5 linked regions of the Kluyveromyces lactis genome follow. The protein of the gene in region 1 interacts with the protein of each later gene in a pairwise test. Links are inferred from orthologs where the notes say so. Each region holds a gene or a part of one and is shown on either strand. Other genes may lie near its edges.

Region 1 (2,315 bases):
TTGGACTGTAAAATCCTTAAGTACCGATCAGACTGGTGATAATGTACAAGAGGTCGAGAGAATCCAGAAGGAGCACCCTGATGAACCAAACTGTGTACGTCAGGGTAGAATACTAGGATCTCTCCAACCTTCAAGGGCTTTTGGTGACTACAGGTACAAAGTGAAAGAGATAAATGGGAAAACCGTTTATGATCTACCTGACCATTTGAAGATATATTTCAGGAGGGAACCTAAAGATTTCTTGACACCTCCTTACGTAACAGCAAAGCCGGAAATAACCACAACAAACGTGGACCCTAAAACTAAATTCATGGTTTTAGGATCTGATGGTCTTTTCGAGTTGTTGAGTAATGACGAAATCGCAGGTCTCGTTGTGAAATGGATGGAATCACATCCTATCAAAAAGAATTTCAAAATGTTGAAGGAACAATCTCCACAAGGTAAATTACCAAAGCTAGAAGACATCTCCCCAGACAAAGAAGCACAAAGGCCTGCTTTTAGGTACCAAAGCTCCAAAAAACCTGACTCTAAGAGCGAATATCTCATGCAAGACGAAAACGTAGCAACTCATCTAATCAGAAACGCTCTCAGTGGAGGCGGTAACAAAGAATACGTTTCTACATTGGTCAGTATACCTCCAACGAAGAGTAGACGTTACAGAGACGACTTGACTGTCACCGTTGTCTTTTTCGGTGAAGAAACTGAGGGCATTGATGGTAAATTAGAACTCAACCACAAAGCCACCAAACCAGAAGAATCTAAACTCTGAACCCGCAGTCTTAGCATAAAAGTGTTGTTATTTAGTTAAATAACCGTTTTTGACACTTATATAAACACACTGATTCGAAGGAAGGTTCACCAAGCACGTGACCTACTATCAACATTCAAAAGCCTTGTTTTCGTTATGGGAAAAGATACTAAAACTAAATAAAACTAAAAAAAGGATGAACGATGCTCCCTACTTTTATTGAAACGTAACGTTTACAACCGGAGTAGCAGATTGCTCTATCGGTAACAAGAGTGTACGAATTAGTTTTTGAGATTGTAGACAGACACATTTTCTTCTAAACAATCTCTCGAGCATACAGTCATCATATTAACCAACTTTCGAAGAAGAAATCTTGATTTACCTGGTCGTCATTGATATTAAGGTCATTTTCAGTTGTAAGGTACTAGGAAATGAATTCAAACGTTACGTCTATCAAGTTGGTACTCCTAGGAGAAGCTGCGGTGGGGAAATCTTCCATTGTTTTGCGCTTTGTGTCCAATGATTTTGCTGAGAATAAAGAACCCACTATTGGAGCAGCCTTTCTAACACAGCGAGTAAATATGGCTGACCACACAATAAAGTTTGAAATCTGGGATACTGCTGGTCAGGAAAGATTTGCATCGTTGGCCCCAATGTATTATAGAAATGCTCAAGCAGCTTTAGTGGTTTATGATGTAACAAAGCCGCAGTCATTTATCAAGGCTCGCCACTGGGTAAAAGAATTACACGAACAAGCGAGCAAAGGGATTGTAATCGCATTGGTTGGAAATAAGATGGATTTGTTGGAATCTGAAGAGGATAGGAAAGTAGCCAAAGAAGAGGCTGAAAAATTGTCACAGGAAGAGAACCTTTTATTCTTCGAGACTAGCGCTAAGACTGGTGATAACGTCAACGAAGTGTTCTTGGCCATTGGAGAGAAAATACCCTTAAAGAAGTCGGATGGGTCCAATACCGATGGGTTACGTGGAACAGAAGATGGAAGGATCGACTTGAACAAACCCGATGATACCTCGAATCCCAACTCATGTGGTTGTTAATACTCACGACCCTATCCTCTTTTTAGGGGAAATGGCCTAACGAAATGATTCATATTAACAATCGATGAAATTAATTTTAACCAGAGGAAAGGAGCCAATAGAACAAGATATCTACCGTGCCTATAATATTCCAATATCATCATAGTAGAAGTTTAAGATAACCAGTAATACATAAATCAGTTAGATTTACATTTTTTGTACCTACATTTTATTTCTATATATATTGGCGTAGTGAATTTTTCGGATCCCCGTATTGATCGATTATTCATGAATTCAATCATAGAGAACTCTATTCAGGTAATGAGATGTATGAATGATGATACATGCGTGATGAAACTCTAAAGGATTCAACCTGGGTTTTAAATTGTCATGGATGGCCAAGATGAGGAGAATGATGTGCTATTATTGGAGCGTACTGCTAGCTCGTTTTTTCGTTACAAGGAATTTGCGTTAGAAGAGTTCTGGCGACCCAGAATACTTAGGTGGGAATCACTGTCCGAGCATCAGAA
Region 2 (3,495 bases), on another chromosome or scaffold:
GTTCTAATCTTAGAACCAAGAAGTCAAACATATTGGCGAATGTGACAGCTAAGGGGTCCTTTTCAGTACTTTTATTGTCGAAGAATTCATAACTAAAATCTGTTGGAAACTTAAATGAGTGTACTATAATTTTAGGCACTTTTACAAGCCACACGTCAGTCAATTTATAAACACAGTAAACCAAAAAAATCACCTGAAACATCCGCTTTAAACTCCTAAGCTCTTTTGGACCCTGCAAGATACCGCTTAATTTCACCAGTTCAAGTTGATACCATGCAATTCGTTCTCTCAGTTGTACTGTGGTCATGATGTCAGCTTGGTTTGAGGAAGAAGTGAGCCTACACAACAACGAGGTATCTTTCTCAATACATTCTTCATAATTCCTGATTCGATCCCGTATCACAGACTCACTAGACCACAACAGATCAACATTGTTATGTATAGTGTATTTTGTATCTCTTTTGTTCCGATGTCTAAAATATTGATAGGCATAATACGGTGTGGAGACTGATGCCAATCCGGACAAAATTCCCATTACAGTCACACCGATCACTGATGCCTTAGTCAATAGATTATATGTGTAGCCAAACGGTCCAATGGTAAGGAAATGCAAGAAAGTTAGCCATAGAATAGTAATGCCAATGGTTACCGGCACTAATTTGTGCATGCTGACCTTGTCTTCGAAGAATTTCGTCAACAAGAACACCAGTATCAGGAAAGGTTGTATCAAAATCAATGAGATGAACAATAAAGCTAACAAGCCTGGCCATATAATTGACGTCACCAAGTTAGCCTCGGCATTGGGGTCTGCTACTTTTATCTGCCATAATACAATTTCAACTGCTACAACGTAAGCAGAAAATGTAGCACAAAATATGACTCGTACTGCATTGTAAACCTTTCTAGAAGACAACGAATACTCGGAATAGAACTTGTGAAAGAAGCTACTGTTTGAATCTGGCAAAGATATCACAGTAGCAGGATCTGACTCATTGTTCGTTAATGTAGAAGATGGTAGAATATCAAATAACTTCTGGATTTTAAACCATAGTACATGATATGATCTATCGAAAACCAACCAAAACGTTAATAGACAAAACAGCAGAATGAACATATCATCAAGGATCAATTGGCTTAAACACGTTGATCCGTTCGGAGTAGTAATAAGTGTTGTATAGACTAATGTAACGTGTCTCATACCATTACGCAAAGGTTTTGTTAGATCGTCAAGCTTAATGTTCTCTTTAATTGCATTTGAAAAGCATGAAACGAAAGTTAACGATTCGAAGCTTTTATTCCTAAGGGGAGGAAGGAACTAAGTCTCACAGTTGGATTATTCAAGCTAGTTCCTTTCCATGGGATTTATGATGGTGAGGTAGTATATCTATTTATAAAGCCCAATGACAGAAGGAAATGGAAGGTGGTTGGGCTCGGCGAGTTCGACTGGACAACATGATAGAAATGTCGAGGCCGTAACTTGCCCAGTTTGCGGAAATGAGTTGAAGAGTTTGAGAAAGCTCAACGTCCACTTGGACAATGTACACGGTTTTAACGATGAAAGTGCGTCCGATGTCGATAGCTCAAGAGAGTCAAGTGTCATTGGTTTGAACACATTGGTTCAAGAAAGGACTCATGAAAGACAGAGTAAGGGGAAATTAAAGATGAATACATCTCACTGGAAGAAACCAGTAGAAGGCAAATCGGTATGTTTTGAGTGCGGTTGTAAGTTAAACGCCAGAAACGGTATGATCAATTGCCGCAAATGCGGCGAACTTTTCTGTTTAAGGCATTGTAGAAATGCCATCAAGTTGAATGAAAACGGTGAATACGATCCGGCGAGCAATGTATGGTGTAAATGTTGTCACAAGTGTTATATCAATAGGAAAGGTTACAATGACTACGGACTGACTAGAAATATAACACAAGCTTTCGCTAAGATAAGAAAGTTGAAGAACGAGGATGGAGAACTTATCACTTTGCAGCTAGAAAACAGGCTATTGAGACTAATAAATGGGATAATTCAATTACATGTACGACATCAGTCATCGGTCTTTGCAACGTTCAGGATCAGAGCAGGAATTATAGCTTTGGAACGATCAATCGTAGAGTGGAAGGATGATCAAATGGCAACCCAATGCGGCATATGCTCTCAGCCGTTTGGACTCTTGATGCGGAAACATCATTGTAGATTATGCGGTCAGATCGTGTGCGATAGACAAGAAACTCGATGTTCCAGCGATATTCCAGTCCTGAACCTGATGAGTGCGGCCCCAGACCTTTCCTTCGAGAATGTCGGGAACTTAAAAGCAATATCAGACCTTTCTACAGGAGTTAGAATTTGTTCCTCCTGTCTGAGGTATGTCTTTGCAAAGCGTAAGCTCCAATTTAGTAAGGCATTGAAACTACCGGAAATTTTACAACAGTACGAAAATCTCCACAACCTCGAAACGCTTGTAGTAAATTTACTCCCCAGATTCCAGAAAGCATTAGATTCGATACATAATGCACCCGCTTCAGATGAGACTGCGATTCAAAACCTAGCACAATTAAGAAGAAAGCTATTACAAAATTTAACGCTTTATGACAAATTATCAAAAAGCATTGTTCAGTTGGATACAAAATCAACAGCAGAGAAGAAAATACAACAGTCAATTGCCCTACATGCATCAGCGTTCATCGAGGAGAAAATGCTACCCTTGAAAAAAATACCAGAAATCTTGAACCCTGTGTCACAGAAAGTAGAAGTCACAACATCATCGGATCTTTTGTTCAATAATTTAACAATTGCGGAAGTAAAGAAGTACAGAGAAGAACTTATGGTTTTGAATGAACAACGATACTTAGTCGAAAATATGCTTAATTCAGCTGCCAAGGAAAGGCGCTTCGAGGAAGCGATATCCTTGAAAACTAATCTTTCAGAAATTGATCAGAACATAGTGCATTTAGAAAGTAAGCTAGGTGATGAAGGCTTTTAAAATTATTATTTAACACTCAATTAGGTGTATATTCTATTGAACCATATAAACACTCTTCTATCACAAGCACGATAATATAAATGCAACCAAAACTCTATCCGTTTCGCTCTGTAACTTATTGTCGAGATGCCAGTATGAGAAAGCCCTTTGAATAAAAAAAAAATCCTGTGAAATGTTAATTCTACCAAAGTCATCGAACAAAAGTTCTGTTGAAATCACGTCACAGCGACAGCAAGAACTTTACGCACCGACTTTGAACCTATCCAATCGTCAAATAACATAATGAACGTATGTGTACGCTTTTAAGTGGTCGAGAGTTTTCGAGAATACTAACAGAAAGCCTTGCTTTTATGGATTGAATTTGTGTTTAGAATGAATGGAGATCAAGCTTGAATGAAATTAACAGTATGGCGTGGACCGGGATTGACGTATTCCCTGATAAAGCCAAGAAACTTGATTCTAGTATTAAGAGGAATACGGGTTTCATTAAGAAGTTGAAGCAGGGTATTGCAAAGGAATC
Region 3 (3,811 bases), on another chromosome or scaffold:
TCAACAACCCACATCAGTTCTTGTATATCTACTAAATTCAACTTTAACTGGTTCTGACTATATGGCCTTGTTCTTGGGATTAGTGATGGGATTACATGCCAAGACTATCAAAATTGTTACCGTTTCAGAGCATCTGGTTGCTCTTGGAGAACTGCAAGAGATTCTCAGATCCTCCATTCTGATAAAATTGGATATTACAACTATATCGACTAACGAAACTGATTCCGCAGTTGCGAGTGTTGATGTCTTCAATGACATCGAACTTAATAATAAGAGTTTGGTGGTATTACCACAAGATTCTATAAAGTCTACATGTTTAGACGATTATTCTAAAGTGCTTGTAACGAAAGCTTCTAAAAGTGGTTCTACGGTAGCCATCTGTCATAGGTGAACAACAACGAACCCTAAATGTTTAATGGTTCAGTAGTTCCCGATTACTACCCTGTTTATTCAATATTTCGTCTACTTATATAAGCATTTAATAACACCACTGAGCTGTGCTTTAGTATAGAGTTGGGCAATCCGTTATCAATTACCAGTAAATCCATGCATTAGAAACATTATATCTGTCCTGATTCTAGATTCTGGTTCCGAATCTGAGTTTCACAATTGAAAAAGGTGATTAACTCAAATTTGTATACAATAAGATAATATGACGCGACAGTATTATTATCACGTGCACATGCCAGCACTAAAAATGAAATATGTCGCACTGTCGCTGTAATTTTACCATAGTAAAGTTTTGTCTGAAAGCACAGCAAGTTTAAACGATCCCTGAATAAAAATACCCTGACACGTTTAGTTTCCACATCATTTTAAAGCGATATTTCATTTCAAGCTGGGGCTCTGATTGCTATTGTTTCCGGTATTGTTCTGTCGATAATAACGGGAAATGATTCACGAGTTTAAAAAAAAATTTCTCGTTGCCAGCCGTGAAGATAAAAAAAAAAAAAAAAAAAAAATTGAAAACACATACTCATTATCTGTGCGAATTAAATACAGTTTTTAAAGGCGTAACTAAGATACATATCCATTAAAGTTTCCACCTCAGAATACCACAGGTACGTGGTACAAATAAACTGTTATTATCGAAAAGCACCAACCTTTCTAAAGCTAGAACCTGGAATAAGAAGCAGATCGAAAGAGTGCTGTTTTTGTCATTCTTTGAGCGATATTGGCGGTTGAGAATTTTTTTTTGGTTCTTGCAAACCGCTCAAAATTAGGCTTTACAGAATTCCTAATAACATTACAGGAACCTGTGAATAATCTCATTACTAGTAAAATTCCAACCTCTGAACCGTATCAGGCTATTTTTGGAATTTCTAAGGTCGTTCATATCTGACTTTTTGTTCTCTCGCTTTTCCCTTAAAGAGACATAAGAACTGGTTATAGAATAAGCTATATTTAATCTAAAGTCTCGGTTAAACACTACAAGCGGAAAAAAATTAAAATGCTGAATGCCGAGCGCCGCCCTTCTATGGCGGAACGTCGTCCTTCCTTCTTTTCTCCCGGTCCTGACGGCTCCTTACAATCAACTTCCCTCGTTGTGCCACATTTGGCTGGTATCGAGGATCCTTTACCGGAAACTACACCGGAACAAGTGGATGTACTCATTGCTGGTACCGGGTTGATTGAAAGTATTCTATCTGCTTCTTTAGCATGGCAGGGATCCACCGTTTTGCATATAGATTCCAATAACTATTATGGGGACACATGGGCTACAATGACAATTGATCAGTTGAAGAATTGGACAAATCAAGTGAATGAAGACTCAGACGAAACACGGTTTTACAAAGATGCCAGACTCTATGTCTCCGGGTTGGTAGCTCAGGGGAAATTCAAATCCAAGAATTTTGGTATTGATTTAAGTCCCAAGATTCTATTTGCACAATCCGATCTACTCTCAGTTCTAATTAAATCAAGAGTACATCAGTATTTGGAGTTCCAATCGTTATCCAACTTCCATACCTTTGAGAATGATAACTTTGAAAGGTTAACGAACTCGAAACAAGAAATATTTACTGACCAAACTCTTCCATTGATGACGAAACGCAATTTAATGCGTTTCATTAAATTTGTGCTAGAATGGGAAAAAAGCACGGACATTTGGAAACCATACGCTGAACAGCCACTTGCTAGTTTCCTAGTCGATAAATTCAAGCTAGAAAAACCTCAAGTTTTTGAATTAATATTTTCAATTGGTATGTGTCGTAATCTGGATACTAAGACACCAGAAGGTTTAGCAAGGATCAGAAGATTTTTAACTAGTTTTGACGTTTACGGACCTTTCCCAGTCCTATATTCAAAGTATGGTGGGCCGGGAGAACTATCTCAAGGATTCTGCAGATCAGCAGCAGTGGCTGGTGCCACTTATAAACTCAATCATAAATTGGTATCATACGATCCGAACTCCCAGACTGCGGTTTTTGAAGACGGTTCAAGAGTAAGAGTCACAGAAAAGGTTGTCGCATCCCCTACCCAACATCCCCAGAATGGCGGTAACATTCCTCCCCAGAAGTACGAAGTGCATAGGCTCACTTGTGTTGTGGAAAAAGACTGCTCACAGTGGTTCAGTGAAGGAGAAAGTGCTGCTATGGTCGTGTTCCCACCTGATTCATTGAAGACAGGAAACGTTGAAGCCGTACAGGTGGTGATTTTAGGCTCAGGAGCCGAAGTTTGCGAACCAGGTACTTGCGTTTGGTACTTCTCAACCACTCAAGCCGGTCCTCGAGGTGATTTGGACCTTGATGCTGCACTTGAAGCAATGATCAATAGTATTTTAAGGGAGTCCTCGGATATACCCAATGAGGATGAACTTGTACAAATCAATTCAAATGGCGTTCCACTAGTCAACAGTGTAAAACTGGGACAGTCGTTCAAAGAACTCATTTCAAAAGAACGGGTAAACTTCATCATGAAATTGTACTATACTCAATACACATCCACTCCTCCATTTGATATTGTTACTCCAGACTTATTTGATTTGAATAAATCTAAAGAATTTATTCCTGGCGCATCAGATAATGGAATTCTTTATACTTCGTTGCCATCAGGAGAAGTGTCATATGATGAAGTTATTACTGCAGCAAAGTTCCTTTATGAAAAAATAGTAGGAAGTGATGACGATTTCTTCGACCTTGATTTTGAAAATGACGAACCAGATCTAAAAAATACCAATAAAACAATTAATAGCTACGATGAAAGTGCTATCGCAGATGATGAAGAAGATATTCAAATGATGGACTCAGAGCCAGTTGAATTTGCAGGCGAGATGGAAATATGACATAGCGTCAAGCTTCTTCAAGTTTTCAAGCGACAATGCTTTCAATTCCAATAGCATCAGTATTCCTTCTTTGACAGATTGATTGAAATAACCCGATGTGTCTAACCTTGTATTATATGGAATTATCTATCCACAAAAGAAAAAAGTGACATCTTCTAGATAAGATTTGCGTCACATAAGCATATTTTGGATCCAGCTGTATTTCTTACTGCGAATTGCACTCTTTGATATAAACATACCTTTATTCAACCCACTACCTGGGAATCTTAAAACGAAACGTTATTTAAGTTATCCATAGAAGGCAGATGCAGGAAAAATTCATACTTGTTTTCAGTTCCTGGAAATCAAAAATAGCAAAACCTTAATTAAGATTATACATGATATTAACCTAACTTCTCATACATAAAGTTAACAAAAGAATAGTGTTCGGCTTCTTAACTGCTCTTTGATTTAATTGTCATTCTCGAAAGCGAGGAAAAAACATTAAATTAAAGCTCAGAGGCGGCTTCTTATCTCCAGTAATGATTC
Region 4 (3,462 bases), on another chromosome or scaffold:
GAATTGACGCAGATTCTTTTAAGTTGTACATCAAAAACGGAGATGATATTGGCACTCAAGTCACTACTGATGCAGAAGTACCGGTTCTAATTCAAGAGAAACGCAAGATCTTTGTCGATGACAGCTAAGTTATTTGTTGCAAAATTTTATCGTCATAATAAATAATACAAAAAGAACCCCAAGGTGGTCAAAATTCAATTTCTATCCACTGATGGCTTTCATGCTTATCATAATGATGTACTGTACATCGCATTGTAATACTTCAACATAATTTTGACATTAACACTCTTATATTCTTTCACATTAATTCAGTTCAACAAGTAAAAATCAGTTGTTTACATACTCTCTCTATAGGTGTTAATACTTCTATCAAAATGATAATAATACTTCACAAACATGTCTAAGGACTATTCATCCAGCTCTATGTCCATGTCTGCATCCGCGTACGGATCTGTATCGAGATCCATGTCAATGTCCATGTCCGCATTGTGATCAAACTCATCATTTCTATGCATGAGATTCGGTGCCAGATCAACTCTGGAATCTGCTGCAGTCTCAACATTCATATCTACTTCATCTAATTTTGGACTATGCTGTTGGTACCATTTTACCCACAAGCTTGCTACCACAGATCGCCAGTCATACCATTTTATTACCTGCGAGTTAAACTGTCGTACATGATCGAATATTCTTTCATATATCTTATCATTTTTGTTTGAACCACTCAATTCGCGTTCAACTACATCCCACATCCTTTTATTTACAACTGCTTTGAATGAGTTCAACCCTGAATCAATTTTATGTTTCTTTATCCCATCGGTTCCCCTAGGAGCCAACGATAGGTTTTCGAAATCATATATTAGCCGTTGTTTCTTATAGTTATCGATTCCTATCGGGTCAGGACTCCTTGACCTCTTCATCTTGAAGCCTGATGACATTGTATAGCTAATACCTTGCTCATTCGCAGTGAACTATTCTAAGCAGATGATCTGTTCGCTGCTACTTTTGTAGGTGTTGTTTCGTTTGTCCTAATTTATCTTATGGCCAACCGAGAACTTTCTGGAAGCTTAAAATGAAGATCATTAGAAATGTTTGTAAATTCACCCGTTAAGAAAGTTTCGTAGATGAAGCTGATACTACAGGTACTGGTTATCTTTTTCTTGTTAGATATCTCTTGATCGAGCCTTCAATATTGCCTTTAATATGCTTTTTTTCTTTTGTTTCTTCTAAGAGATATGTATTTGATCTTCTTCATAATTAAGGGTTTCGAATGTCTTTTTCATACTGAAACATTTAGTTCACAGCAACTTGGTTTACTTCAACAACGTTATAAGAAAAAGTTTATGATTTCTATCACTGCAAGCTTGTGAATCATCTTTGGACCTGCTCATGTATGGCAATTGAGCTATGTTCCATACTCCCCCATTTTCTAATGCTTCTTTCGATACTAAACAATCCATCACTGAATCTTATCGCGATAGTTTGAATTCGACGATTTCCAATAATAGCGATGCAAAGAAACCGAATGTCATGCTTCAAACTGCCAGCACATCGGCACCTCCATCACCAGAACTACCAATAGAATCTTCAGAATCCAATGATGATTTGATTCCCATTGCTAGTATACCTGATGAATTGATGAAATTGATTGATTTGTTCATTGATGATTTGAAACAGCCTAAATATTCCAGGCCTTTAATGATTACACAATTATCTCAGATATTCCAAAGGTTTTATGAGAGATTTGATAGATCTTGCCAACAACATTTTAATGCATTAGCCTCGCCTGGAAGTGTGAATGTTATGCTCAACGCGAGAGAAACGAGAAATAGTGGATTGAGTAGTATCTTCAACAGATCCAGAAGTAGTAGTTTTCGAAATAGCAGCATAAGAACAAGAACTAGAACTAATTCTGAACAGAATTATCAGCAATTGTTGACTCCAGAAGAAATATCCCATCAAATTAAGCTGCAAGAGGCTAATAATATCAAAACGGACCAGATTATGGATTTGTGTGAATGCGAAATATTCAAGAAAATACTGCAAGTTGGCACTTGTGTCCCAAATCATCCAACAAGACAGGCGAAATCGACTAGTTCGAATGAATGGAAAATGACAAGCCTATTTCGTAATAATCCGGAGTTTATTGAGTTTGATAAGATGTTGAATACTAAATTGAACACGATGAAAGAGTTAAGCAGTTCGCGAATACTTGATTTACCAGCATTTTTAGCGTTAGAGTTGAAACATAAAGAAAGACTTGATATGGTAGGGTTATTATTTGATAAGATGTTACATGAGAATGTATCCCCTTGCGACAAGGTACATTGCCTAATAGTATTGCATGATAAGCTATTGGCTCTTGATCAAAATAACGCTGATGAGATACTTCCTTCGATGATATATCTCTTGATAACAAATCCTCGAAAAGAATTGTTTTTGAACCTCCAGTTCATCAAGCTTTTCAGATTCCATCGAAGGTTGAAAGAGAAAGAATTATATGTCACTACGAATTTTGAAGCCGCGATATCTTTCATTGACTCGTTGACAACTAAGGATATAATAACATATTGCCAACACACTGATGAATTAAAACTTCCGCATTTGGAGTCTATCAGTGAACAAGTGAAACTTCCTCTAGCGACAGAGGAGTCATTTATACCGGATTTCAAAAGGTCTAACTCTCTTTCTGATTTAATATCTGTTGGTAATGTTATTGATTCTGGTTTTAGAAACTTGATGGGTCGCATCAAAACTTATACCCCGCCACCGCCACCACCACCACCGCATGTAGCACAGATACAGGTACCGCTACCAAGCATCGAGGTTACCGAGGGTCCTGCTACCGATTGGAGAAGGTACAAGGATTATAAATTCGAGGACTTGAAGGTTAGTGATATGCAAAGTATATTTGATATATATCGTGATTTAGCTAATAAAAATAAATAATGATGAGGAAGCTAATGAATTAATATATAAGATGGTCGTAATCAATATAATAGAATTAGTCTAACTGGGAGAGTTTCGACAATATATCTTTAACTGAAGAAAGCTCCTTTGGAACCAATTCAGTAGTAACTTTTTGTGCAAGAGTTTGGATAACCTGTCTGGTATATTCACCAGACTTTGTCTGGTGCTCCAAATAACTGAGCAATTTCTCTTTAGTACGAATCTCTGAAGGCCTTGATAAAACTGTTTTAAGGACATAATCATCGTTATCACCTTCATTCCTTGAACTAGCTATGGCATGAATTATTGGGAAGGAAAATTTCCCCTCGGTTAGATCATCAGCGAATCCCTTCTGTTCAAACATTGTCTTGGAGAATAGATTTAAATAGTCATCTCGTATTTGATACAAGATCCCAGCTGCATTAGCTAACGGTATAAGATCATATTTCTGTGCAAGCTCTTTTTTCGACAAGGCATGTAAAAGTCTCACCATTAACCTAAATAATCCTCCAG
Region 5 (3,228 bases), on another chromosome or scaffold:
AAAAGTTTTGTTGATCATGTGATGTGTTGATGCATTTCCTGGTAGACATATTACAATGCAATCAAACGTTTCAAGGCATGGACTGCTTCCATGCGCATCCTGAAAATCAGACTCAAGTAGCTCAGAGATTGGATGGAATTGCCACTTCTGGATATAAGTGTCCGAGCTTATTTGTTCTTTTGTAACCGGATTTCTCTGCGTGTAATGTATTTCCATTCCTAATCCGGAATCCAATTTCCTACCACACTGGATTCCAATACGTCCAAGTCCCATAATGAGACATCTCTTGTTCCGACAACTTTCATTAAAGGTTCCTCGTTTCCATCTGTGCCCAAATTCGAACCTTGGTGAATTGTTTTCACCGTGTTCCAGTACGATTTCTGAACGAGCCTTGATAGTGTTTCTTGCTGATCTCAATGCATGTGCCTGACTTGAGAATTTCCGAAACCCATCTAGAACGTGCCAGAGGACGCAATCTGCAACGTCGTTGGCTACAATTCCAGAGTCCTGTATCATGTCGTCATAATTGTACAGTTGAATGCCCTTTTCCCGTAGTGACTTCAGGTCGAGCCAATTGTAACCTACAGAACACAGACATATGCACTTGATCGACCCAGGCCAACGATGATCATCCAAGATTTCTGCACTCAAACCACCTAAGGGAGCGAATTGTGGATACCCTCCAAATATTCCGACAATTGGACCCTTTTGCTTCGAATGCTGGTCCAAGAAAGTTAGAAATGCTTCCTTACCAGTGCCATCAACATCTCGTTCAAGTGTGTAATTAACCGTGTTGAACTCTTTTTGCAAAAGCTTATATTCCTGTAAACTGTATTCAGGTTCAGCTATGAATAGTATCCATGGCCTGTCCATCGTGAAACGAAGTTTGGGACAAATGAGGGAATATGGTTTTGTGTATAAACTTTGCAGTGAAGGGATCCGAGTTTTTCTCTGCCAACCCAGGATCGTCTTTGTTATAATTAATATTGAAACCTCCGTTCACAGATCTGGGTCACGTGAAGAAAACTTCAGTCACTATTTTACGATATTGGTTGAACTGACATACTACCTTTCGAGGTGCTGAACATTCCTGGATCTTCAGCAATTTATGAGCATCTGAAATTGTCCAACTAGTTTGTTAACGCTCGAGATCAATGCCTGAACTGAATGCAGTTATATGCGTCTAGAACGTTTGTCTTTTAACCTTGAATTAGTGTTGAAAATAAAGAAAGTGCGATTGTTACAATAAAAATAACAATAATAGGGAGGATCATAGTATTTAGCAAGAAAACAATAACGACTTCAAACGTAGGGCTACCTTCAACTAGATAGGAAACGTTGGACCTAGTTCATAGAACGTCGAATTGACAAAAGCTTGTAATAATGGACGAAAATTATGATGTTATCGTCCTTGGGACAGGTCTTACCGAGTGTATATTATCTGGCTTACTCTCAATCGAGGGGAAAAAAGTCTTACATGTTGACAGACAGGACCATTATGGTGGTGAATCATCCAGTGTCACATTAACGCAACTATACTCTAAATTCAAACAACATCCTTTGAGTAAGGAAGACATTGAGTCAAAGTTTGGCAAGGATAGAGATTGGAACGTGGATTTGATTCCTAAGTTCTTGATGGCGAATGGTGAATTGACTAACATTTTGGTTCATACTGACGTCACCAGATATATCGAGTTCAAGCAAGTTGCTGGCTCGTACGTTTACAACAGAGGTAAAGTATATAAAGTTCCTGCTAACGAAATGGAGGCTATTTCATCTTCTTTATTGGGTATCTTCGAGAAAAGAAGGATGAAGAAGTTCTTGGAATGGATCAGTGCATACAATGAAGAAGATATCGCCACACATCAGGGCTTAAACTTGGATCAAAACACTATGGATGAGGTATACTACAAATTTGGCTTAGGAAATTCAACCAGAGAATTTATTGGACACGCAATGGCCCTTTGGACCAATGACGATTATCTGCAACAACCTGCTAGACCATCAGTGGAAAGAATTATCCTATATGTGCAATCGATTTCCAGGTTTGGTAAATCTCCATATATTTACCCTATGTATGGGTTGGGCGAATTGCCTCAAGGATTTGCTAGATTATCAGCTATTTACGGTGGGACATACATGCTAAATACCCCAATTGAAAAGGTTTTATACTCAGACGATGGTAAATTCGAAGGTATTGTCACCAAAGAAGGTACTGCAAAAGCACCAATAGTCATCGCAGATCCAACATACTTCCCTGAGAAATGTAAAACTACAGGTGAAAAGGTGATCAGAGCAATTTGCATCACTAAACAACCTGTTCCTAACACTAGTAATGCTGATTCTTGCCAAATAATTATACCACAATCACAAGTTGGAAGAAAGAACGACATTTATATTGCTACTGTCTCTGACGCCCATAAAGTTACTTCGAAGGGTCATTACCTCGCCAGTGTATCAACCATCATTGAAACTGATAAACCTCATATCGAATTAGAGCCGGCTTTCAAAATGTTGGGCCCAATTGAGGAGAGGTTCATGGGTATTTCAGAAATCTTTGAACCGATCGAAGATGGCACTAAAGACAACATTTACATCTCTAAATCTTACGATTCCTCATCTCACTTCGAATCCATGACCGACGATGTCAAGGATATCTACTTTAGGATTACTGGTCACCCCCTTGTTTTAAAGAAGAGAGAAGATGTTGCAGAGGAGTAAGTGAGAACTACGAGATAACCGTGATGCTAACTTTTGAAAATATCGTACCTTCACGTACTTCTACGTACTTTTACGTTACTTTCTTGTTTCGTTACAATCTTTATCATTATCATTTTATTTTTGTCTATTTACTATCTAGCCCCACATATTAGCTTGAATGTTTTGGCAATAGTTTTATTTCAGCAATCGACGTAAAAATATCCCAGCTAGTCCTCTTAAGTCCAGCAGCTTCTCTACTTCTACATATGAAGTTGTGTATGTCAATTTTGTACATGTATCTTTTTTTTTTCCTTCAACATGAAATTGTTTAAAACAATTTCATGTTGAAATTTGACAATACAACTACAACACATTCAAAAGTCAAATGCATGGACCTCTGAACCAAGGCCGTACTGTCCAGAACCATGCTATTATTTTCATTTTTCAAGACCCTGGTTGATCATGAAGTCAAAGTCGAACTAAAGAACGGTATTGAACTAACAGGTACTCTAAAATCAGTCGACCAAT

The links.
Region 2: the proteins of VPS21 (region 1) and PEP7 interact in a two-hybrid assay, tested with the Saccharomyces cerevisiae proteins (4 studies listed by BioGRID). The link is inferred for Kluyveromyces lactis from reciprocal best matches to the Saccharomyces cerevisiae genes VPS21 and PEP7.
Region 3: the proteins of VPS21 (region 1) and MRS6 interact in binary tests that used the Saccharomyces cerevisiae proteins (3 or more experiments, as listed by UniProt). The link is inferred for Kluyveromyces lactis from reciprocal best matches to the Saccharomyces cerevisiae genes VPS21 and MRS6.
Region 4: the proteins of VPS21 (region 1) and MUK1 interact in a two-hybrid assay, tested with the Saccharomyces cerevisiae proteins (2 studies listed by BioGRID, with this or other methods). The link is inferred for Kluyveromyces lactis from reciprocal best matches to the Saccharomyces cerevisiae genes VPS21 and MUK1.
Region 5: the proteins of VPS21 (region 1) and GDI1 interact in binary tests that used the Saccharomyces cerevisiae proteins (3 or more experiments, as listed by UniProt). The link is inferred for Kluyveromyces lactis from reciprocal best matches to the Saccharomyces cerevisiae genes VPS21 and GDI1.

Annotation. Positions count from the first base shown.
Region 1 is NC_006039.1:1,172,150-1,174,464, forward strand, and holds VPS21 (Rab family GTPase VPS21), read left to right. Parts: upstream 1-1,179; coding exon 1,180-1,806; downstream 1,807-2,315. Other genes in the region: type 2C protein phosphatase PTC5, read left to right, coding at 1-769; KLLA0_C13750g (S-adenosylmethionine-dependent methyltransferase), read left to right, coding at 2,176-2,315.
Region 2 is NC_006040.1:1,128,035-1,131,529, reverse strand, and holds PEP7 (phosphatidylinositol-3-phosphate binding protein), read left to right. Parts: upstream 1-1,400; coding exon 1,401-2,975; downstream 2,976-3,495. Other genes in the region: KLLA0_D13200g (uncharacterized protein), read right to left, coding at 1-1,198; NMD2 (Nmd2p), read left to right, coding at 3,258-3,263, 3,347-3,495. UniProt on the Saccharomyces cerevisiae protein: Required for vacuole segregation and vacuole protein sorting. Possibly part of a complex which tethers the vacuole membrane to microtubules, either directly or via kinesin or dynein-like motor proteins.
Region 3 is NC_006040.1:533,112-536,922, reverse strand, and holds MRS6 (GTPase-activating protein MRS6), read left to right. Parts: upstream 1-1,450; coding exon 1,451-3,283; downstream 3,284-3,811. Other genes in the region: KHA1 (Kha1p), read left to right, coding at 1-391; KLLA0_D06215g (uncharacterized protein), read right to left, coding at 3,779-3,811. UniProt on the Saccharomyces cerevisiae protein: Substrate-binding subunit (component A) of the Rab geranylgeranyltransferase (GGTase) complex. Binds unprenylated Rab proteins and presents the substrate peptide to the catalytic component B.
Region 4 is NC_006041.1:2,073,708-2,077,169, reverse strand, and holds MUK1 (guanine nucleotide exchange factor MUK1), read left to right. Parts: upstream 1-1,407; coding exon 1,408-2,949; downstream 2,950-3,462. Other genes in the region: phosphatidylinositol-3-phosphate-binding protein BEM1, read left to right, coding at 1-128; KLLA0_E23343g (uncharacterized protein), read right to left, coding at 408-938; BTS1 (farnesyltranstransferase), read right to left, coding at 3,005-3,462. UniProt on the Saccharomyces cerevisiae protein: Putative GTPase-activating protein.
Region 5 is NC_006042.1:852,931-856,158, forward strand, and holds GDI1 (Gdi1p), read left to right. Parts: upstream 1-1,383; coding exon 1,384-2,721; downstream 2,722-3,228. Other genes in the region: KLLA0_F09163g (putative hydroxyacid dehydrogenase), read right to left, coding at 1-873; Sm-like protein LSM2, read left to right, coding at 3,126-3,228. UniProt on the Saccharomyces cerevisiae protein: Regulates the GDP/GTP exchange reaction of SEC4 by inhibiting the dissociation of GDP from it, and the subsequent binding of GTP to SEC4. Plays an essential role in the yeast secretory pathway.